5 linked regions of the Sus scrofa genome follow. The main gene of each other region encodes a partner of the protein of the gene in region 5 in a complex. Links are inferred from orthologs where the notes say so. Each region holds a gene or a part of one and is shown on either strand. Other genes may lie near its edges.

Region 1 (2,916 bases), on a different chromosome or scaffold from region 5:
TGCAGCTCTGCCATCCAACTGGTTGGCGCCTCAGTCGGCCGTCCCAGGTGTGAAATATCAGTTTTCCTGATATTTTCCTGTCTGTAATGCAGGGATGATGATAATTCTGACTTCATGTGATCCATACAGTGGGGGAGTGACGGGGCTAGGACTTGAACTAAGGCTGTCCAGACTCAGTCCAGGCAGCAGCCACAGTACTAACCTAGCTGTCTCTCTGTTTTTTCTCTTTACAGCTGTGACAGCCCCATGGCCCCGGTCGGCCACTGAGCCCCACCATGGGCAACCTATACTCAGAATACCTAAGCCCCAGCAAGGTCCCAGAACACTATAATTATACCAAGGAGACGCCAGTCACAGAGACGCCCTCCCGCCAGGTGGCCTCAGTCCTCATCATCATCCTCTGCTGCGCCATTGTGCTGGAGAACCTGCTGGTGCTCATCGCGGTTGCCCGCAACAGCAAGTTCCACTCGGCCATGTACCTGTTCCTGGGCAACCTGGCTGCCTCAGACCTGCTGGCAGGCGTGGCCTTCATAGCCAATACCTTGCTCTCGGGCCCGTTCACGCTGAGGCTGACCCCTGTGCAGTGGTTTGCTCGAGAGGGCTCTGCCTTCATCACGCTCTCCGCCTCCGTCTTCAGTCTCCTGGCCATTGCTATCGAGCGGCAAGTGGCCATTGCCAAGGTCAAGCTCTATGGCAGCGACAAGAGCTGTCGCATGCTGCTGCTCATCGCCGCCTCGTGGCTCATCTCAATGGTTCTCGGCGGCCTGCCCATCCTTGGCTGGAACTGCCTGGGCCACCTAGAGGCCTGCTCCACTGTCCTGCCGCTCTACGCCAAGCCCTACGTGCTCTGTGTGGTAACCATCTTCTCTGTCATCTTATCAGCCATCGTAGCTCTGTACATCCGCATCTACTGCGTGGTCCGCTCCAGCCAGGCTGATGTGGCCGGCCAGCAAACGCTGGCCCTGCTCAAGACCGTCACCATTGTGCTGGGCGTCTTCATCGTCTGCTGGCTGCCCGCCTTTAGCATCCTCCTCCTGGACTACGCCTGTCCCGTCCGGGCCTGCCCCATCCTCTACAAGGCCCACTACTTCTTTGCCTTTGCCACCCTCAACTCTCTGCTTAACCCTGTCATCTACACGTGGCGCAGTCGGGACCTGCGGCGGGAGGTGTTACGGCCGCTGCAGTGCTGGCGGCGGGCAGCTGGGGGGCAAGGACGGAGGGACGGGACCCCGGGCCACCGCCTCTTGCCCCTCCGCAGCTCCAGCTCCCTGGAGAGGGGCACGCACATGCCCACATCACCCACATTTCTGGAGGGCAACACAATGGTCTGAGGGCCAAGTGGGCTGACAGTTAGGCTACATGGAGAGTCACTGGGTGACGTGGGGCTACCAGTCAAGGGGCCCCCACTCCACAGCCTGGGGTGATGTTGAAGATATTTCACACCTGGTATGGCCAACTGAGACACCAGCCAGTCGGATGGCAGAGCTGCAGCAGGGTCCCAGAGGCCAGTGCGGTGGCCCATGTGACCTCTTCGGAACTGGATCTTGGGGAGAATGGGGGAGGGGGGACCCGGAAAGGGCCCAGGGGACAGCAGGTGGGTGCTCAAGAAGAGCACAGAGGGAGTTCCCGTTGTGGCTCAGCAGCTTAAGAACCTGACTGGTATCAATGAGGATGTGGGTTCAATCCCTAGCCTTGCTCAGTGGGTTAAGGATCTGGTGCTGCCATGAGCTGCAGTGTAGGTCGCAGACACTGCTTGGATCTGGCATTGCTGTGGCTGTGTCATAGGCTGGCAGCTGCAGCTCTGATTTAACCCCTAGCCTGGGAACTTCCATATGCTGCAGGTACGGCCCTAAAAAGACCAAAAAAAAAAAAAAAAAAAAAAAAAAGCACAGCACAGGAGCGATTTCCCACCCAGTACAGAGGATTTCAACATTTCACAACCGTCTGCCTTCCCCTCCGCCCTGTGCCCGGACTTCCCTCTCTGAATTTACCCCCTTTGCCACCTTCTCCTTGCGATCTCAGAGGCCACTTCCCTGGAACCACTGTCCTGAGGGGCTGGAGACCTCCTCCCTGACCATTCTGGGCAGTCCCGGATGACAGTTCCCCGGGTTCCAATCCACAGCTTCCCTAAATCTCACCAGCTGCCACTTTGTTGACTTCTTCCCTTTCTTTCTGCCAGGAAACCACGTGGGGATGGGGGACTAAACCCCATTCTCAGACCTCATTGGCCATTTGCACTATTTGGGGCACGGGGGAATCACTGAGGTCTGGAAAAACCGGTCTGGAGGACTGAGGAGAGCTCAGGGCCTCCCAAGGGGGGCAGGGTGGAATTTGAGAAAGTTCTAGGGGAGCTAATGGCACAGGGCCCCCTAAACCCCCCTAAACAGCCAACCCCTAAGTTACTCCCACCTCCAGCCCCAGCCAAGGTACCAGATCTCTCAAGGCAGGGCAGCCTTGAGCCCGCTGTGCCTCCTTTGAGGTTGTACTGAACAGAGCATGGGGGTGAGGGTGCCAAGGACAATTTAGGATGCTCTCCTTTAACTCTGCTCCAGAAGGACTTTGCTAAAATCTGTGGCTAGATGGAAGGGACATTGCGGTACAAATGTATATTTATGTGTGTCGGTCAGTATCTGTGTGTGGCTTTGTGTGTGTGTGTGTGTGTGTGTGTGTGTGTGTGAAGGCTGTGATCCCGTCTCCTTGTCATGTTTCCCAGAATGGATGCTGTTTTGTCTCCTCATGTCTGTGTTGAAGCTGCCAAAGAGGGGTCTGGCCCCCATGCAGACCCTTTGTAATTGCTGACTTATCTCCCCGACTTGGGAGCTAGGGTGCAGCTCACCTCGGGGAAGGAAATTTCATGCCTCAAAGTGATTTCACGTGACTGCAAAGGCTGGGGGAGGGGTCTTTGCTGGGGGGGCA
Region 2 (4,902 bases), on a different chromosome or scaffold from region 5:
AACTCCTAGCCTGGGAACCTCCATATGCCTCAGGAGTGGCCCTAAAAAAGCAAAGAAAAAAAACCCAAACAAACCAACCAAAAAAAACCCCAAAAAAACCCAGGGAGTTGTTGCCTCTGGGAGCGAAGTAGGAGTGTGAGGGTGGCCTTGAAATGGGCAAACCCCCCACTGTTGTCTGAATGTTTATGTCTTGATTTGGGTGCTTAGTCACATGGGCGTATCTGTGTGCCACAACTCGATGTACTGCTCCCTTAAGATCCAGGCATTTTTCATTTTTATTTTTAAAATAAATAAACAATAAATAAATAAATAAATAAATCAAATAAACAAAAAGAAGAATTTGCAAGACTAATTGCTGTCATGTTGGAGCGCTTCATCCCAGGTCTGTGCAAAGTGCTTTGCCCCAGCATGAATTCTCACGACCAGTGTATGAAGGAAATGATAAGAAACATCAGGAAATATTTTCGGAGCACTCACCATGCCTGCACTCCCTCCTGGACAACAACAGGTACTGTACACCTATCATGCGTCTGGCACTTTTCTAGACAACAGACACACAATGGTATGCTAACGACACACAAAAATGACACTCCTCCTTGTGGGGAGGCAGATCATTAGGAAAAAAAAAAAAAGTGAAATACATCTAGTCCCCACCCTGCACAGTGGGTTAGGAATGTTACTGCAGGAGTTCCCGTCGTGGCTCAGCGGTTAGCAAATCCAACTAATATCCATGAGGACATGGGTTCGATCCCTGGCCTTGCTCAGTGGGTTCAGGATCCGGCATTGCCATGAGCTGTGGTGTAGGTTGCAGAGGCGGCTTGAATCTCTCATTGCTATGGCTCTGGCATAGGCCAGAAGCAGCTACAGTTCAGATTGGCCCCCTATGCCATATGCCACAGGTGCAGCCCTAAAAGACAAAAAGACAACAAGACAAAAAAGGGGAGTTCCCGCCCTGGCTCAGTGGTTAATGAATCCAACTAGGAACCATGAGGTTGCAGGTTTGATCCCTGGCCTCGCTCAGTCGGTTAAGGATCTGGCACTGCCGTGAGCTGTGATGTAGATCGAAGATGCAGCTCGGATCCCCAGTTGCTGTGGCTCTGGTGGCTACAGCTCTAATTAGACCCCTAGCTTGGGAACCTCCATATCCCATGGGTGTGGCCCTAGAAAAGACAGAAAGACCAAAAAAAGAAAAAGAAAAAGAAAGAAAAAAAGAAAAGAATGTGACTGCAGCGGCTCTGGTGCCTGTGGAGGTGTGGGTTGAAACCCCTCGGGTGTAGTGGGTTAAAAGGATCCCAAGTTGCCACAGCTGCGGCTCACGTCACAGCTGCAGCTAGGACTCAATCCCTGGCCCAGGAATTTCCATGTATCACAGGCTGGCTTATGGAAGGAAGGAAAAGAGAGAAAGAAAAGGAGAAAGAGAGGAAGAAGGGAGGAAGAAAGACAGACAGACATAGAATGTTAGGTGCTGACAAGCCAACAAAGCAGGGAGGAAGGGAAGCCTGGGGCCATCATGTTTTGCAGACTTGATTGTCTGACATCCTCCCGACAAAGGGACTCAGAGGGACCCCATTGTCCGAAGAGGAAACTGAAGCACGGAGAGGTCACCAGCCTAAGTCTGGCCACCAGGCAGGGCTGGAGCTGCCCGCCCCAGGATTCCTTCCGTGGGCTCCGGGAACTAACAGACCCCTTCCGACTCCCCTTCATGGAGGAGGCGGGGATGCAAGGACCGGAAGGTGAATGACCTGGGCCTGGGGTCTCTGTAGGGAGGAACACGTTCAGCTCCAGGAGACTCCATGCGGGAGGCGCCTTCCTCCCGCGGCTGCGGGCTTGATCAGGCTGGGGTGTCAGGTTGGAGGGAGAGTAAGCAAAGCGGCTAAGGAGGCGGGGCCTCCAGCGTGGGGACCTTGAAGGAGTGGGATGGGGGTGCCCCACGGCAGGTGAAGTTTCCCCAGGGCTGGAAGCCTTTAGCGGGGCGAAGGGGCGCGACGAAGGAGGGGTTAATGGGGGCGGGCCCGGCCGGGGGGCGGGGCCTCGGCCGGCCGCTCGGGCCCGGGGGCCGGGAGGAGTCGCTGCCAGGTCCCGGCGCCGCCGTGGAGCCCAGATGCCCGAGCCGCCGAGAGAGGCGCCACCCGCCCCGTCCAGCCGCCACGCGCAGGTAGGCGCCGGTCCTGCGGCCGCCGCGGGGCCGCTCCGGCAGCGCCGCTCGGGGGCTTTGCGCTGCCGCGTGCGCTGCCTCGGTCTCCCGCGCCGTCGCGGTCCCCGCCCCTCTCTGGGGCCGGCTCTCCCCGCGTCTCCGCCGCCGACTCCGGCTCTGGGTCTGTCTCCAGGTCTCCGTCTGGCTCTGAGGTCTCTCGGCATCGGAGGTCCTTCACCCTCTTGGGCGTGTCTCTCCTTCTCCATCTCTGGACGTCTCTGTGTGGATTTCTCGATCTCTGCCTCGCCATCCCTCTCTCTCTCTGGCTCTCTCTGTGTGTCTCTTTGCCTCTACCGCTGCCTCTTGATGAATTCTCAGTCTCTACGGAACTCTCAGCTTCCATCTCCACGTCTCCCCGTCTCTGGGCATCTCTGCCCTCTCCCTTCCTGTCTCTCTGTCTCTCTCCGTATATCTCTGTCTCTGTCTTTCTGCATCTTAGACCCGGTTCTGGCAATTTCACCCCGTCGTGGTCTCCTTCTAGATCCTGGCGAATCCCAGCGCTTTCCCCTGGGCTGAGGAGCTGCTCGGGAGTGGGGTAGGGGGCAGTAGGGTTGTCACCTGAGGCGGGTGGACCCTGTGACCCCGACTCCCCTCAACAGGGTCATCCCACTGCTCTTGAGATCACACCCACCCCACCCTCCAGTTTCAGGAATTCTTGGCTGGGGGGTGAACTTCCTCCCCCACTTCCTCCCTTCCAGGATTTGGCTGGGTCACCCGTTGTTAACTCCTTCCTGCCTCAGCTTCACCCCCCTCCCCGTTTTGAACTGGACACCCCCTACACCAACCAAGCTGAAGGGCAGCTCTGGAATTTCTGTGAGGCATGTGTTGTGGGATGTGTGCTGTGTTCAGGCTGGATGTGCGGGGATTTTCCTAAGGGCACTGATGGTGGTGATGGGGCCACCAACACCCCCATCACCCCCTGCAGGGTCCACCACCAGCTCCACTCCTGAGGTCACCAAGGGCCCCCTCCAACTCTGTCTCTGTAGATGAGCTTGACCTCAGGTTTGGGGTTAGGATGGGAAGCTTTTCCTTTCTAGGGGCGGTACCAGTAGGAGCAAATGAGAGAGATTGATGGGGGAGGTGGCTCCCAAACTCTGGGAATCATAGATCCAAGAAGTTTTGAATGTGAAGTCTTTGCAGGACCCACGTATGTGAGAATGGTCAGAGGGGTGAGCTGGAGGCGCTCAGACCTTCAAATTAAAGGACCTTAGGGTATTTGAATCCTTCATTCCGAAAAGATTAGCGCTGGAATTTTTGACAGTTTTCTGCGTTCACAGCCAAGAGCTCGAACGTGCTTTCAGAATCAGTGAGACCAAGCCGCCCATTTTACAGAGGGGGAAACTGAGGCCCAAGGGCAGAAGTCCCCACAATGGGTCAATTTCAGGCTGGGGTTGGGACTCCAGTTCCACTGATGCCCAAATCCAGAAATCTGGCTTCATTTGCCTCCACTGGGTCAGATCAGTCAGATCCTTGTGGGGAAGGAAGCAGGTCTTCACAGGGAGAAAGGAAGCAGCCAGGGTGAGTGTGGATGGCTGGAACCCTGGAGGGAGCATTTTTTAAGAAGCAGAGAAGAGAAAATATTTCTAAAACCATGGCGGGAGAGGAGACAGGAGTTGGTTTGGGTGGAAGGGGTGGAGTTTTCAGAGAAGGAGGGAAGAAGGGAGGGGACGTAGGGGGATTAACTCCCGCCTGGCTCTGTCTCCTGACCCTCCGCATGAAGCCCACTGCTCCCGCGGGACAGGGCCTATAATTTGGTTTGTGTCTAGACAAATAATAACTCAGCTGGTGAGCGAGTGAATGGGGAGGGATGAGGCGAGTCCTGCTGGACAGGGCTAAGGAGGCAGCCTGGGCTCCCAGTGTCCCCTCCAGGAGGGCAGAATTTAGGGCCCAGATGAATGTGGTGACTAAGCCCATCCCCCATGGAATCCTAGCATCCTAGAATTCTGCATAATCTTGGAACTTCAGGCTTCGGGAATGTTAAAATACAGATTAGGTAAGGGAGGGGAAAAGGAAGTGGGTTTGCTGTCTATCAAGTATGCTCCCATTTCTGTAAAAAAAAGAGAAGAGAGGCGTTCCCCTTGTGGCGCAGCGGAAAAGGAATCTGACTAGGAACCATGAGGTTGTGGGTTCTTTCCTGGGCCTCGCTCAGTGGGTTAAAGATCCGGCATTGCCATGAGCTGTGGTGTAGGTCGCAGATGCGGCTCGGATCCTGCGTTGCTGTGGCTCTGGTGTAGGCTGGCGGTTACAGCTCCAATTAGATCCCTAGCCTGGGAACCTCCATGTGCCGAGGGTGCAACCCTAAAAAACAAAAACAGAGAGAGAGAGAAGGGAAAGATGTATTTGTGTTTGCTGGGCAAAGGTAATAACCACTGAGAGTTTATTAATAGATTACAAAAGTCATAGAATGTTAAAAAAAAAATCCTAGAGCATTCTAACAATAGAACTTGAGAATCTTGGAATGTGAGCCTCCTGGAATATTGGAAACTTAGAAGGGTAAAGGCATGGAAAGCCACCATGGTAATAATAATAATAGAATGGGAGAAAGGTAAAGCTCTAGAATGTTATAATAATAGAACAGTAGCCCATGAGCAGGGCTAACAATAGAACTCCAGGACTGCAGAGCCTTGGAAGGTAGAACCTCAGAGCGGTAGAGTCAGGGGACCCTGGTGCCTGTTCTGGGCCATGTGGGGGATGGGGACCCCCTTCAT
Region 3 (3,985 bases), on a different chromosome or scaffold from region 5:
GGACCATGAACCAGAGTTCGTGCGGCTCCAGGGAGCTCAACCAGTCCCAGCCGGCCGTGCATGTCCTCTTCGCCTACACGGGCGGGCTGCTGGTGCTGGGCCTGCTGCTCAACGGCCTGGCGCTCTGGGTGCTGTGCTGCCGCCTGCAGCAGTGGACGGAGACGCGCATCTACATGGCCAACCTGGCCCTGGCCGACCTCTGCCTGCTCTGCGCCCTGCCCTTCTTCCTGTACTCGCTGAGGGGCACCGGGGACACGCCGCTCTGCCAGCTCTCCCAGGGCACCTATCTGGCCAACAGGTACATGAGCATCAGCCTGGTCACGGCCATCGCCGTGGACCGCTACGTGGCCGTGCGGCACCCGCTGCAGGCGCGCAGGCTCCGCTCCCCGCGCCAGGCCGCGGCCGTGTGCCTGGCGCTCTGGGCGCTGGTGCTCGGCTCCCTGACGCTGCGCTGGTTCCTGGAGAGGCAGGAGGGCGGCTTCTGCTTCACCAGCCCCTCCCGGAAGAACTCGCACACCCCGGCCTTCTCGCTGGTGGGCTTCTACCTGCCTCTGGCCGTGCTGGGCTTCTGTTCCCTGCAGGTGGTGGCCACCTTGGCCCGGAGGCCAGCCGCGGACGCGGGCCAGGCGGCGACCAGCCGGAAGGCCGCCCGCATGGTCCTGGCAAACCTGGTGGTGTTCGTGGTCTGCTTCCTGCCTCTTCACGTGGTGCTGACGCTGCGCGTGGCCGTGGGCCTGCCCCCCTGTGTCGGCCAACTCGCCATGGAAATCACTGGCAGACTCTCGGACGCCAACTGCTGCCTGGACGCCGTCTGCTACTACTACATGGCCAAGGAGTTCCGGGAGGCGTCCGTGCTGCCCGCGGCCTCCAGGGCCAAGGCCCACAAGAGCCAGGACTCTCTGTGCGTGACCCTGGCCTAGGAGGCAAGGCGGTGCTCTCCGCGAGGTGCTGCCTGCTGGGGACCGGTGACCAGCCCTGAGCTCGCCATGGGCGGGGGGTGCTGTCAGGAGGCCCAGGTGGGCAGGACAACCAGGCATGGAGCCTGGGGAGGTGACAGCCCCCCGCCCCCGCCCAGTGGAAAAGGAACAGGGAGGATGGCAGGGCTGAGGCCTGAGCAAGGCCACCGCAGGGGCCCTGGGCACCCGTGCTGGGCCCAGAGCCCAGGACACCTGGGCGGGGCGGGGGTGGCTGTTGGGCACCAGGAGGCTCTGATGGCCAGCTTGCCGCCGCCACCCACAGGGGCCGGAATAAAGCCCCCCAGAAGACTGTGTGTGCCACCCACACCCGCACCAGGGGCATCTTCCCCGGTGACTGCCCAGGGCTCCCCTAGGGGCCCCCACCTACGTCACAGGCCTTCCGCCCCCACCCATCTGGAGTTCTATCTGCCGCTGGGCCAGGCCTGAGTGTGGGCAGCTGGTCCTGAACTCAGAGACCACGCGTAGGGAGGGCGGAGGGGACAGTTAGCTCTGTGTCCGGCAGGGGACACGGCCTCTGCCAGGGCCAGAGCTGGAAGGAGCCCCATCTTACGCTTCAGCCTGGGGAGGGGAGGAGCCGCTACGGACAGAGACGGTCTCTGGACTAGAGAACGACGGAGAGAGGGAGAGAAGGAGAGACGGATGGGGAGAAAGCAGGATGGAAGGGGGGGTGTGGAGGGAACCGGGAGGGGGGGACAGGGACCACAGGAGAGGACGGGCCAGAGAGGGGAGGTCATGAGAAGGACAAGGAGAGAGGACCCTGGGAGGCGGTCAGGGGAGGGGAGAGAGACGGAGAGAGCTGTTCCAGGCCGGCCCCCGGCCCCGGTGCCACCCCCCCACCGCCGCGTGCCACCCCTCCTGCTGTCCTGCAGACTGGGAGCCGCAAGGGTCAGAGGGTCCCAAAGAGCTACTGGGTGCCCTGGGTGCCTGAGGAAGGACCAGGGGCCAGCTCTGCCTGCCAGACCAGCTGGGCACCCCCGCTCCCAGGGCCACTGGACGATGGACCTTACCCAGGGCCACATGGCCTGGGGCAGACCCACAGAGGTCCTGGGCTGGCCGGAAGCCTTGGATGGAGAGACCCAGGAAGGACCCCCACCACAGAGCCCCTGTCTGTCTGGGGTGGGTGGGGAGGTGGTGGGCCCGCAGCCTGGAGGGGGCCTTGGTGGAAAGCCCTGAGGCTAGGTGAGGGCTCGCCCCGATCAGGTGAGTCCCGGGGCTGGCACCGGAAGTGGGAGAGGGAGGGGGGGAGGGGGGGAGAGAAAGGCTGCAGCACCCTCTCCCGGGCCCAGTGAAGCTCCACCTGGCCGGGCCCTCCTCACCCCAGAACCCGCTGAAGCTCCCACCAACTTCCCGCCCCTGGCAGACTATCAGCAGCCACTCTGTGGCCGCTGCCCCAGGAAGGACTCTAGTGGCTGCAGCATGGACCAGAGTGTCCCAGGGCAACGAGCGTCTCCATCTGCCTCCTCCTGGTGCTGGGCCTGCCACTCAAGGGCCTGGCACTCTGGGTGTTCGGCTGCCACCTGCCCAGGTGGACAGACACTCACGTTGCGAAGTCAACCAGGTGGCAACTGTCTGCTGCCGCCGAGCCTGACGGGATCCTGCAGTCCGGGGCCAAGTGTCCAGGCCGGGAGGGCACCCCACACGGGTCCTGCAGAGCGTCCACTGGGGCAACACCTATAGGAGCAGGGGCCCCACCTGCAGCCTGGCACTGGGGTCTTCTGCTCCCAGGAGGCGCAGGTTCACCTGTCGGCTCTGGCCGTGCTCACCTGCCCCCACCACCCTGGTTCAGTGAGATGGTGGTAGGTGCCCAGGGCACTTCTGATGGCCACTGGTGGGCCTTTTACATGGCACTGTAAGAGCAGGAGAAGGGGGCCTGGGGCCAGAGGGCAGGAAACCACACATCATGCAAACAGCAGTGTCCTGGGGGACAAAGAGAAGCTGGAACCTCCAGGCTGAGAGGAAACCAGAGCTTCTGGGGACAGGTGCCCTGGGGGCAGACAAGAAGAGGTGGAACAGGGTGTGAATCTCCAGGGTCCAGATATCACCTGTTGCTCATCATGCCCTCATTACAATAAAATGGTCATAAAATTAGCTACGCAGATAAGAAGCAGCCATCCTACGCTGATGCCATGACACTCCCGATATACTAAATATGGACAAAAATCTCTCCTCCCTTCGGGAAGGTGAAGCTGGGATGACAATAAGGAATATGACACCCAAGCCCCACTTCCCAGTGACCATCCCGCCCGTAAAATCAGATGCCCCATGTAACGGGTGCGCCCAACACACGCAGGACAGCTGCTCGCCTCTCTGGCCGCCTCTCCTTAAAAGGTGTATTTCTCACTTAAAATAAATCCTCCGTTTCCTTTCTCAAAATCTCCGTCTCATGTCTGAATTCTTTCTTCGACGAGACAAGAACCCAACCTTCAGGAGCAGCCGCAGTGCCCACAGCCCCTGCCCCCGCCTCCTGAGGCTGCCGCTGGCCAGAGTGGAAGCTGGGCGGCAGGAGGAGGTGAGGCCTTGGCCCCCCTGCTGACCCATGGCAGAGAACTTGCTAGAGCCTTTAGACCTGCCACTTTCCAGGACTGGGGGTGCTCCTAGGGTCTCTCATGGGGAGGGTGGGGAGAGGAGAGGCTGGGAAGTGGGCCAGGCCGTGACAGGGGGACGCAGGGCTTGGGTGTCCGGAAGGTGGGGGGGAGGGTGTGCGTCAGAGGAGTCAGGCGGTTCCGGCAAGGTGGCACCTCCTTGTGCTGCGGCTGGACGCTGGATGGCGGGGCCAGGACGCAAGGATGCTCTGGGGGGTCCAAGGGAGAAGCGTCCAGGGCCAGGATGGCGAGGGGGGGAGTCCTGAGTCGCAACGGCGGGCGGTGACCAGGATGAGGGCTCCCACCTCGATGCGGGGCAGCCAAGGGATTCAGTGGGACGCTCTAAGGGCGCTGTTCAAGGGGTAAGAAAGGGGGCCTCCGGGAGTTAGGGTGGCCTGGTTCGGGTGTGTGAGCGCCCCAAGGGAA
Region 4 (5,013 bases), on a different chromosome or scaffold from region 5:
GGTTAAAGGAGGTCAGTCTAGGAAATGGGAGAGGTCCATTTAAATAGCAATCTGTCTAATTCTTTGTAAATTAAGACCTGGTCAGAGAAAAATCTGCATCTGCTGCCACTCCTCAGGCATCTTTCCTTTACTTGCAGAGGGAGGCTGGATGGAATGAAAACTGATAAAATGCAGAGATAAGGGTTGTAAATTAGTTTTCCCCGAGGCGATCAGCCTAGGTGACAGGATAAAGGTTGTAATGACAACGGTGTAATTCATCATTTTTTTTTTTTTCAAGTGTGAAGAGATAGAGAAACATGTGCAGAAAATTTCTGCAAACCTGCTGCGCCTGTGCAGGGACGGTCAGGCAATCTAATTTTCCGAAGGTAGTACGCTGCAGGGCACAAGTTAAAAATAATCACCTCATGGGCTTGACATTACATTTTTTTTTCTCCCCGGTGGAGATGGGAGGTCATTTTCATATCCTCTTTAGGAAATACTTGGACTCTGTTCCCATTTAAAGTCAGGACTAAAAGATAATAATATTAGCTAGCATTTAATGGTGTTATTTTCTACTTTGTAATAATAATAATCACAGCTAACATTTATTGAGTGATCTTTTTCTTTGCAAAAAATAGCTAGCATTTATGGAGTGCTGCATATTTTCTAAGCACTGCGTTGAGAGACTTATATGTATCATCTCATTTCTTGTTACAACCCCGGGGAACAGGAACTAGTACCTCCATTTTACAGATGAGAAGTTTGAAACAGAGAGGTTCAGTAACTTGCCTGAGAACACACAGCTAGCAAGTGTCGGAGACAGTACGGGGAGGTAAGTGTTAGTTTAATCACATGGCACATTATAGCTGTGAATAAAATTGTGTGTGTGTGTGTGGACATGGAAGCATTGTAGATTGTGCAAAGTTTTGGTCTCTAATAAAGTGGGTTTAGGCTGGCAAAGGATCTGATGCCCTGCTATTATTACCTTGAGAACACTATCCTGGATGTGGAGGGGGTGTAAACCCACAGTGTAATTTGTAAATAGTTCCATTCACCTCTGAAAGGGTTAAATAGAAAATGTGGTTAGTATTATGTGGAGGGCACAGGGGTGCGGTTTATTTTCTTTTTCCATCCCTAGGTCGCTTTATTTCTTTTCTTTGGGCAAACAAGATTCTGCTCTAAGCTGAGTTTATGGTTTGCTGTATGTTTTCTATGTATTCATATTTATGCTGACTTTGAGGGTATGGATGGAAGGCATCTTATTTTTTAAATTTCTATTTCTTTTTAATCTTTTTAAGGGCTGCACCTGCAGGACATGGATGTTCCCAGATTAGTGATCTAATCAGAGCTGCAGCTGCTGGCCTACACCACAGTCACAGCAATGCCAGATCCTTAACCCCCCAGAGTGAGGCCAGGGGTTGAACCCGTGTCCTCATGGATACTAGTTGGGTTCTTTACCACTGAGCCACGAAGGGAACTCCATGATGGAAGGCATCTAACACACACACACACACACACACACACCCCATGTCTGTCTGGTCTGCCTCCAAACCTCAGATCCAGAAAACCTTCCCAGTGGTTCTTAACAGACCGGAGTTAGGACCCAGGAAGGACCAGCAGCGCTGGCCGGGCTATAAATAGAGAAGCAGAACAGAACAAAGTTTGAGGAGAGCTCTTTCACCACTCACTCTCCCCACCCCAAGCAGACAGACGGACGAGGTGTCAGCCTGAGTCACACCAGAAGGAGTTGAGCAGCGACGCCCCAGCCCAGGAGCCCACGGGAGCTCCAGACAGAATTCCTTGCGCTTCAAGGAAAAAGGAGAAACATCCGACTCTGAACCTGGATGGAGACAGATGAATTGTCTTGACATAAAAAGAAAACCTTGAGGGAATCACGATTGCTCTTGGAACCTCTGTGCTGCATCTGTGGCCCGGGATTGCTTCTCGGGACTGTGACGGGGGCTGTGTTTCTTCTCCCCGCATCCCAAGGCTGGTCTGGTCCTTCCAATGTGTCTGTGGATCACTGAGGACTTTCACGTTTGGAGACGAAGAAGAAACACCCATTAACTCCCCACTACTGCCTGCGTTCACTCCCTGAATCTCACAGACTCTAGTGAAATACATGTTTTTTCTGTTGTTGTTTTGTTTTCTTTCCGGAACCTGTGAAAATGTCCCTTTCCCAAGGAAGTGAAAGTTAAGGGGGACATTTTGTCACGGACCCTCAGGAATCCCCCTGGGATCACATTTTCACCTCTGGAAAAAAAAAAAAAAAATGAGGAAGCTGCTGCCTCTTTGCTGCTGGCACTCCTGGCTGCTGTTATTTTATTGCGATTTTCAGGTAATGTCCCCAGGTAATAATTGCTGAGATGGGACTGGATCTCCACTGGGAGGTTCCCCTTGCGTCTTACAATGTGGTGTTTTGTGTGCAGGTGCATGGAGCCGATGCCAGGTCACAAGCCCATCCAGGTAAGGCGGCTTCCCTCTCATCTTGTGAGCTGGGGGTCTGGAATTAGTTTGTTTATTGTCTGTAAGACTGTGGGGCCTTCTTGGGTGGGGGTTCCCCTGACCCCTGCCAGCTGCCCTGACACCTTGCCCTCTGGGTCACTCATCATCTTCCACCTCCGACTTGGTGGAGGACGCTCAGCGCCTGGAAGCCCCTGGATCTGGGGCATCTGGAACCCTGTGATTCAGGAAATGGGGTGTTCTCAGGTGGGCATCTTCTGTCTTTGATTCACATCATGGGTGTCCAGCGGGGATTCATGTGAACTGACCGAGTGCTCCCTGCCTCGTTCTGTCCCTGTCCCTCCTGTGGGAGCTTAACTCCTCCAGCCCCTCCGAGGAAACCCCTCGCCCACTCCCTGGGTCTGCTTTCCCTTTGCCAGCTTGAGTCTTGAGTCTGGAAGCATCACCATGAGGCTTTCTTTGGGGAGGATGGAAGAGGTGTGAAACCTTTCTTGCCCCTTTGCAACTGGGTGGGGTGTGGGTGTGTGTGTGTGTGATGGTGGTGGGAACTCTCTTTGCTGTCACTTTTCCCCATTTGCTACTTGGCTGGCATGTGCGTGGTGCGGAGGAGACCCCATGCTAATGTCCCCAATTCCTTGCTCAGCCTCAAGGTGGGTGGGGGGGGGTATGTCTTGGGCCCTGATTATTACCACAAACAGCCCTGTCTGTCTTCATGTCCCACCAGAGCTTGTGGGCACAGCATCCCTGGTCCCATCCAGGTGTGAAGCCAGGACCAAGAGACAGGTGGGGTCTGGTGGAAGAACCAGCACTGTGCTGGGTGCCGGTAGACATGGGATGGAGCTCTGTCCCCTTTGGAGTGACCTGGCACTCATGGTGGGTGCTGACACATCAAGTCCTCATCACTGCCTTCACCTGCCCATCTCAGTGGTACAGATGTTGCTGTCTCTCTTTCTTCCTCACGTTCAAGTGAAACCTTCTGTTGAAAAGGATGCCAAGGCAGTGAATTTCCAGGCTGAGGGCTCCCCTTTCCTCAGCCAAAGTACTGAAAGAAAGGTCTGGGGATAAATAAATCATCCAGCATCGCATTAAAGAGAGGCAGTGTGTGCCCCTCCGATCCACGCCTCGTAGTTCACACTGGTTTCCCGGGAGAGATGAGGGAGAAATCCTGGCCAGCAACATCAGGCAGAGTGACAAGGCAGCCATAAGACCCCTGGCACATGGGTGGAAAGGAAGTTGTGCCTTGGCCATGCCAGCCACGTCCACTCGCATCCTTCACCCTCAGCTTTCAAACTCAGTCTTAGTTCCACAGAGAAACTTCTTCTCTCACATCCTAATGCAGGGTTGCAAAACCTGATTCCTCAGTCAGCTAGCTACCTTAGAGAAATAATAATAATACTGACAATCATAGAAATACTACTAAAAAGAAGCCGTACACACCACAAAGCTGGCATGGAAACCGGGAGCTCTGGGGTTTGGGGTTCTAAAACTCTGCGCTGCCTCATCAGTTTCTTTCTCCTTGAATTCTGTCTCCAGCCCCCTCGCTCTTGTTCTTGTCCTCCCTCACTCCCACTTTTTAAACCGCTACTTTCTTCTCTTTCTCCCTCTCTCCTTCCTTTTTAGAATAAAGATGAAGCCTAACATTTATTCAACACCTAGTTGGGTTTTTTAACTCCCTGTGGCTGAAACCCTCCTGCCTCCTCTCCTTTTCATCCCTCCCTACTTCCTTCTTCCCTCCTGCCATCTCTTTCTGCCATCCCTTCCTTCCTTCCTTTCTTTCTTTTTTTCTTTCTTTCTCTCTTCCATTTTTCTCTCTTCCATTTCTTTCTTTCTTCCTTTCTTCTTTCTTTATTTCTTTGTGTCTTTCTTCCTTTCTTCTTTCTTCCTTCTTTCCTTCCTTTCTTCTGTCTTTTCTTTCTTTCTTTGTGTCTTTCTTTCTTTATCTCTCTCTTTCTCCCTCCCTCCCTTCCATCCTTTGTTCGAGTTCCTCCCTCGTTCCCTTCCTCTCTCCTCCCTTTTCCTTCCTCCTTCTCTCCCTCTCTCCTTTTCTTTCCTGTCATTCTTTCCCCTTATTTCCTTCCTCTCCCTCTCCAGTCCTTTTCTTTTGTCTTCTCTTCCTCCATCTTGGATTCCGCTCAGCCCCTTTCCTGCTGACAAGCTGACCCCCGTCCCCTGTGCACCAGCAGTACCTGGGAGGCCTGATGCCTGTCTGCTTCCGCCCCCTGGAGCCTGCAGCATCTTAAGAGGAGCCCCCATGGAGGAAACCCGATCCCCAGCCCTTCTTCCCAAAAGCATACACCCAGGCACACAGTCAACCTGCAGTGACCCTGTCCCTGAAGGGAAGACATCCGACAGTGTGGGGATGGCTACCTAAACTGCAGTGATTTATCCTAAGGGGCACTAAATAGTGGTGAATAAAGATGCCAATATGATGGCGTATTGGATGCTTCTGGGTAGATTCCATACAATCCACCCCAGTTCTTGGAAGCACCCTTTTCACTCTCTGCAGGTGAGGAACTGTTCTTCCCGAGAGAGTAAGTGATTTGCCCAAGGTCCCACAGCTCATAAAGCACA
Region 5 (4,701 bases):
TTTATATGCTCACATTTTCAAGGGAGCTGGATTACCAGACAGTTCGAAACAGTTGGACTACTGCAGCCAAAACTCAGGCGAGGCCCGAAGAGATCTCATTTTTCAGAAACATCGATTAGAGCAGCTGGGCCAGTTCTGAGCTAAGCTTGTTCCAACACAAGGTTATAGGCAGGGCTTTGAATAGCTTTCTCTGCTGTTTTGCATGTCACAACATGAACTGGCTGGGCAGGAATACCTTCCTGCCTCCTAGGCATCCTTGGTTCTCCATTACGTTGCACACACTTTTGGAAAAAGAAAAAAAAATATGTTAACTACTTAACTGATAGGCTTCCCTCTTCCTGTTTTCGTAGAATTCAGATTAGCATCTGGAGTCCATATAGAAAGGGTGCTTGGAGGCCGGTGCTAGACCCCTGCCCTGGTTCATCCTTTCATGGGTGGAGAACAGAGCCTCCCAAACACTAGCTGAGGCCACAGAGAGATCTTGCAACCAGGAGAGACGTTTACCCTATATTTTACCTGAAGGCACCACCTAGTGATTCTGGCCCTAACAATCCTTAGATATTAAGAGTTGAACCTACACTACTTTGTATATTGTAGCTTGTCCACCCTGTGGGCTTGGCCAGGACAAGAGGAGATAATCCCACTACAGGCACTGTTTACTGCAGCCAGTTTACTGAGTCATGAGGCTCCTCGGACATTAACCCAACCCAGACAGTGAACTGATTAGCACTGATTTTTAAAATTTAAACCTGTTCCTGAGCCTCTTGGGAGTGCTGACCTCTTTCTTCAGTTTCTGACGCATAGACGTTTCTGAGCCACAGAAGTTCTCATCAAGGAACATTAGGGTTGTACTGCCATAAACGGAGACCACCCCAAAAGCCTTTTTGCACTTAAAACTAGAATACCAAGAATGAAGAAGTTGGCTTTTGGGGGCCAACCCAGCTGTCACTGGTCGCTTGTCTCCTGGCAGCCCTTCAGGTGTCCTGGCCTGAATCTGCTATTAGGATAGGAAAAAAGTCCCTTGGCTGGTCATATCCTCTGTAATCTGGCAGGAAACCTAAAATTTGCCGGCTCTTCTCCTCGGTCTGTTTGCTTATCTGCTTCCTTGTTAGGGAAGAGTCTGCATCACAGTGTCCGGTTAAGGGGGATTTTCACCATGACCTCACCCTACTGCAGCTACATCTTGATTTCAGCAGCTTGGGTTGGAATCCGCATCAATGAGACATCAACAACCCCTCCTCGCCCATCTCAGATTAACATCAACACGAAGTCTTTCTCCTCCAAGAGATGATCTTTGTAGGGCTCAGAGAATACCGAAGAGAGCTGCGGGCCGGTGTTGGGGAGGATGTGAAGATGTTTGGTTAACGTTTTGAGTTTGTGAGAGCAGGATGTCAAGGAAGATACTCTAGGAAAACGCACCAAAAACTTGCCCAACTCGCGCTCGCTCTTTGAATAACATTCAAGCCAATGGCCTCGAAACTAGGAGAGCGAACGATGACAGCCGGCGACCCGCACGTAACCGCGGCGGGAGCGGTTGGGGAACCCAAAGTGCTGCATCTGAGTTCTTCTCTCCGGGCCCCAGCCTCCAGGGCTCCCGGAAGCAGCCCTTGGGCGCGTAAGTGGGTGCAGCTAATTAAAGGGAAACAGAAAGGCTGGCTCTGCAAGGCGCCCAGCCCGAGATCACATGAACACAAGGCCCCACCCCTTCAACCCCTCCCCGCGCGCGCCTGACGGCGGCCGCGAATTCACAGTAGAACGTGATTCTCCGGCCCAGCGCACGGGTCGGAGGAGCCGCCGCGGCGTGCGCGCGCGCCCCCGGAGGCAGCGGGCACGCGCACGTCCCCCGGGCCACCGCCCCTCCCAGGCCCGCCCTCCTTCCCTCCCTCCCTCCCTCCCCGGCTCGCCTGGCCCGCCCTGCGAGTCAGTTCGCTGGTTCCCTCCCTCCCCCGGCGCGCTCGGGTCGCCACTGCGCTCCCCGCCCTCGAGCCGCGGTGCCGGAGCCGCCCGCCGCCCGAGGAGGAGGTGGAGGGAGCCGGAGGGGCCCGCCGAGGCGGCGGCGGCGGCGGCGGCGGCAAGATGGCGGACTTCCTGCCGTCGCGGTCCGTGCTGTCCGTGTGCTTCCCCGGCTGCGTGCTGACGAGCGGCGAGGCCGAGCAGCAGCGCAAGTCCAAAGAGATCGACAAATGCCTGTCGCGGGAGAAGACCTACGTGAAGCGGCTCGTGAAGATCCTGCTGCTGGGTGCGGGCGAGAGCGGCAAGTCCACCTTCCTGAAGCAGATGCGGATCATCCACGGACAGGACTTCGACCAGCGCGCGCGCGAGGAGTTCCGTCCCACCATCTACAGCAACGTGATCAAAGGTGCCGGGCCGGGGTCGGAGCCGGGGGGCCGGGGGCCGGGGGCGGCCGCGGGCCGGCGCGGGACCGGGCACCGCCCTCGTTCGCTCAGTCCCCGGAGTAGAAACGGGCCCGGCGGGCGGGCGCGCGGGAAGGGGGCGCGCCCCGGGCACCGACCCTGCCTGCCCGGGGTGCCCTTGCCCCCAGCGGAGGGGATGCCTGGGGGTGCCCCTTTTCCCTCTTGCTGCGGGGCAGGGATCCCGGCTGGCCCCCCACCCCCCACTCCGTCGCTGGCCTCGCCCCCTGCGAGAAGGGAAGTGAAGGGAGCCGGGTGCCGGGAGTGCGGGGTGCCCCCTCCTGTCTTCCCTCCTCCGGACGAGGCAGCAGACCCGAGAGCCAGCCCCAGACCCTACACCCTGACCCCACGCCCCAGCGCTGCCTGCCCAGCCTCGCCTTCCCGGGTGGGTGGGTGCCCGAGTCACATGGGATCGGGGCTGCTCCCACTTCCCTGCTTCCTTGGCCCTTCCAGTGTTCTGGAACCATCGCAATGAGGAAACTTTTGCCCGAGACTCTGGTCAAGGGCGAACGGTGACTGCTCTTGGACCCTTTGGGGCAAGGATATGAAACTTGAGGGTGTCCTGTTTATTGTACTGGCGTCAGGAAAGAGTAGCCCCATTTAGTTAGTCTAAAAAAGTTCGCAGCGGTGGTTTTTCGCCCGGGTGTCACGGTGGGGCAGGATGTTTGCCTGTAATCACTATGCAACACGTTCCACTCTCCTTTTGCTTAGTAACTGGGGGCCGGAGGGAAGGGGTACCACCACTTGCTTCTACTACTTAAATTAAACTGTGTGTTGATAATAAAGAATCTTTGGCCTAGAAGTGATGCAGAGCCTGTACAAGTTGAGTCAGTGAATCAGTGTCGGCTCTGCTTCTGTTTGTCAGTATTTTTTAAGTTAGATTAAGCCTTGTTAATAAGTGAAAAACGCACAAGAACTTTATTTCTGGTCTTTCAAAGAGCTAAGAGAAGAGGGATTTTATTTTTGTCGTTTGAGTGTTAATTAGCACTTCATTTTCTTTGTATCATATTTTCTACTTTATAAAAGGCATTTGCCAAAGTTGCGGTACGGAGTCTGGTACTTCAGGTGTGTCAGGATTCTCTCTGTTGCATCTGGGTAGCAATTATCTAGGAGTTCGCTATAGATTTCAAGCTTTTCCAAGCAGCATTTTTTTGAGTGGGATTTTTTTGTTGTTCAGGAAGTGCTTAAGTTACTCTCTGGTGTCACTTTTTTTTCTCCCAGGATTGAGTAGAGGAAAACTGCTTGGGGGGGGGGGAAGGGGAAGCTTTGTGAAGCTAATAACGGGGGAGAGCACTGCGCCAGGAACTCATAGACCACAGCCAGCCCTAGTACCTCTGCAGTTAAGTTATTAAAAAAAACCGGTTGTATTTATCCCTTCTTAACGTTTAGTAGTGCAACATTAATTGAGGTGTCTTTCAAAGCCGAAGACTCTGCCTAACCAGGCTCTAATTGAAGGTACCTTTGTATACCGATGCCCAAACTTAAGGAGTTCTGTCAGTGAATAGTTAACATGTTAACTGATTATAAGCCAGCTAAATAAACATCTGGCCCTGTTTTGTTTTTCATGTTTTGGTTTTTTTGTTTGTTTGTTTTGTCATTTTAGGGCTGCACCCATGGCATATGGAAGTTCCCAGGCCAGGGGTCCAATCTGAGCTATAGCAGTTGGCCTCTGCCCCAGCCACAGCTACAGCTATGCCAGATCTGAGCCACATCTGCGACCTACACCACAGCTCACGGTAACACTGGATCCTTAACCCACTGAGCAGGGCCAGGGATCCAACCTGCGTCCTCATGGATACTAGTCGGGTTCGTTTCTGATGAGCCACGACAGGAACTGTACCTGGCCCTCTTTTAACACCTGGTTCTCAATGTGCTCTGACTTCTAAGTGTGACCTACTTTGAGCCTTGATTATGAGATGAAGTCACTAGCCATCTACTTTTTTGAGTTGGCATGATCAGAAAATTGACAGCCAAACAGTTTTTCAGTTATCCAAACAAGTGACCTAAGAGCCATGTGATTATTGAGAGGGACTAAAAGTAACAGCTTAATGATAGAAATAATGGGTTTGAATTAATCACCATGAGTTTGAAATCTCTGTTTTTATACTGTTTTTGCAATTGGTCTTCCTCCTTTTAGGGAAGTCTAACTAAGGCCATCGTGTGCCTCACACTGATTTAAAGCTTGGTATTGGGAGTTTTTGAGTTTTGAATGTTTCCTGGAAGACTCAGCGTTGGGCTCAGCCGGTGCTCGGGGACCAAATAGGCCACAGGGCGACATTGTTTGTTGTTG

What was found.
Region 1: the proteins of GNA13 (region 5) and S1PR2 are in contact, whole or in part, in a cryo-EM structure (PDB 7T6B), measured with the Homo sapiens proteins. The link is inferred for Sus scrofa from reciprocal best matches to the Homo sapiens genes GNA13 and S1PR2. Residues at the interface, in NP_006563.2 of Homo sapiens: Arg47, Val216, Phe359, Lys363, Asp364, Ile366, Leu367, His368, Asp369, Asn370, Leu371, Gln373, Leu374, Met375, Leu376, Gln377; in NP_004221.3 of Homo sapiens: Ser66, Met68, Tyr69, Leu72, Arg130, Ala133, Ile134, Lys136, Val137, Lys138, Leu139, Tyr140, Tyr209, Ile212, Val216, Ser219, Gln227, Thr228, Leu231, Leu232, Val235, Tyr288.
Region 2: the proteins of GNA13 (region 5) and GPR4 are in contact, whole or in part, in a cryo-EM structure (PDB 9JHP), measured with the Homo sapiens proteins. The link is inferred for Sus scrofa from reciprocal best matches to the Homo sapiens genes GNA13 and GPR4. Residues at the interface, in NP_006563.2 of Homo sapiens: Arg47, Pro341, Tyr343, Phe359, Lys363, Asp364, Ile366, Leu367, His368, Asn370, Leu371, Lys372, Gln373, Leu374, Met375, Leu376, Gln377; in NP_005273.1 of Homo sapiens: Gln45, Asn50, Arg115, Ala118, Val119, Ala120, Pro122, Leu123, Ala126, Ile204, Val208, Ser211, Val212, Ser213, Thr214, Glu218, Lys221, Ile222, Leu225, Asn290, Glu291, Gly292, Ala293.
Region 3: the proteins of GNA13 (region 5) and GPR35 are in contact, whole or in part, in a cryo-EM structure (PDB 8H8J), measured with the Homo sapiens proteins. The link is inferred for Sus scrofa from reciprocal best matches to the Homo sapiens genes GNA13 and GPR35. Residues at the interface, in NP_006563.2 of Homo sapiens: Lys46, Arg47, Leu48, Val49, Lys214, Asn215, Val216, Phe218, Arg331, Gln337, Gln338, Lys340, Pro341, Leu342, Tyr343, Phe359, Arg360, Asp361, Lys363, Asp364, Ile366, Leu367, His368, Asn370, Leu371, Lys372, Gln373, Leu374, Met375, Leu376; in NP_005292.2 of Homo sapiens: Phe45, Gln51, Thr53, Thr55, Met59, Asp113, Arg114, Ala117, Val118, Pro121, Leu122, Arg123, Arg125, Arg128, Ala197, Leu198, Arg201, Pro202, Thr204, Asp205, Gly207, Gln208, Ala211, Ala215, Met218, Val219, Ala280, Lys281, Glu282.
Region 4: the proteins of GNA13 (region 5) and ADGRD1 are in contact, whole or in part, in a cryo-EM structure (PDB 9V0U), measured with the Homo sapiens proteins. The link is inferred for Sus scrofa from reciprocal best matches to the Homo sapiens genes GNA13 and ADGRD1. Residues at the interface, in NP_006563.2 of Homo sapiens: Val49, Val216, Phe218, Phe359, Val362, Lys363, Asp364, Ile366, Leu367, His368, Asn370, Leu371, Gln373, Leu374, Met375; in NP_942122.2 of Homo sapiens: Asn599, Arg601, Leu657, Met660, Val661, Ile662, Val664, Phe665, Ser667, Val737, Ile738, Ile741, Ala761, Val764, Asn810.

What each region holds. Positions count from the first base shown.
Region 1 is NC_010444.4:69,049,365-69,052,280, reverse strand, and holds the end of S1PR2 (sphingosine 1-phosphate receptor 2), read left to right. Parts: intron 1-233; 5' UTR 234-275; coding exon 276-1,331; 3' UTR 1,332-1,885; downstream 1,886-2,916. UniProt on the Homo sapiens protein: Receptor for the lysosphingolipid sphingosine 1-phosphate (S1P). S1P is a bioactive lysophospholipid that elicits diverse physiological effects on most types of cells and tissues.
Region 2 is NC_010448.4:51,976,628-51,981,529, reverse strand, and holds the start of GPR4 (G-protein coupled receptor 4), read left to right. Parts: upstream 1-1,598; 5' UTR 1,599-1,733; intron 1,734-2,021; exon of another isoform or gene 2,022-2,155; intron 2,156-4,902. UniProt on the Homo sapiens protein: Proton-sensing G-protein coupled receptor activated by extracellular pH, which is required to monitor pH changes and generate adaptive reactions. Activated by an optimal pH of 6.8-7.2.
Region 3 is NC_010457.5:139,588,289-139,592,273, forward strand, and holds the end of GPR35 (G-protein coupled receptor 35), read left to right. Parts: coding exon 1-920; 3' UTR 921-3,350; downstream 3,351-3,985. UniProt on the Homo sapiens protein: G-protein coupled receptor that binds to several ligands including the tryptophan metabolite kynurenic acid (KYNA), lysophosphatidic acid (LPA) or 5-hydroxyindoleacetic acid (5-HIAA) with high affinity, leading to rapid and transient activation of numerous intracellular signaling pathways.
Region 4 is NC_010456.5:24,237,881-24,242,893, reverse strand, and holds the start of ADGRD1 (adhesion G-protein coupled receptor D1), read left to right. Parts: upstream 1-1,623; 5' UTR 1,624-2,251; coding exon 2,252-2,317; intron 2,318-2,408; coding exon 2,409-2,445; intron 2,446-5,013. UniProt on the Homo sapiens protein: Adhesion G-protein coupled receptor (aGPCR) for androgen hormone 5alpha-dihydrotestosterone (5alpha-DHT), also named 17beta-hydroxy-5alpha-androstan-3-one, the most potent hormone among androgens. Also activated by methenolone drug.
Region 5 is NC_010454.4:11,963,965-11,968,665, reverse strand, and holds the start of GNA13 (guanine nucleotide-binding protein subunit alpha-13), read left to right. Parts: upstream 1-1,752; 5' UTR 1,753-2,076; coding exon 2,077-2,359; intron 2,360-4,701. UniProt on the Homo sapiens protein: Guanine nucleotide-binding proteins (G proteins) are involved as modulators or transducers in various transmembrane signaling systems.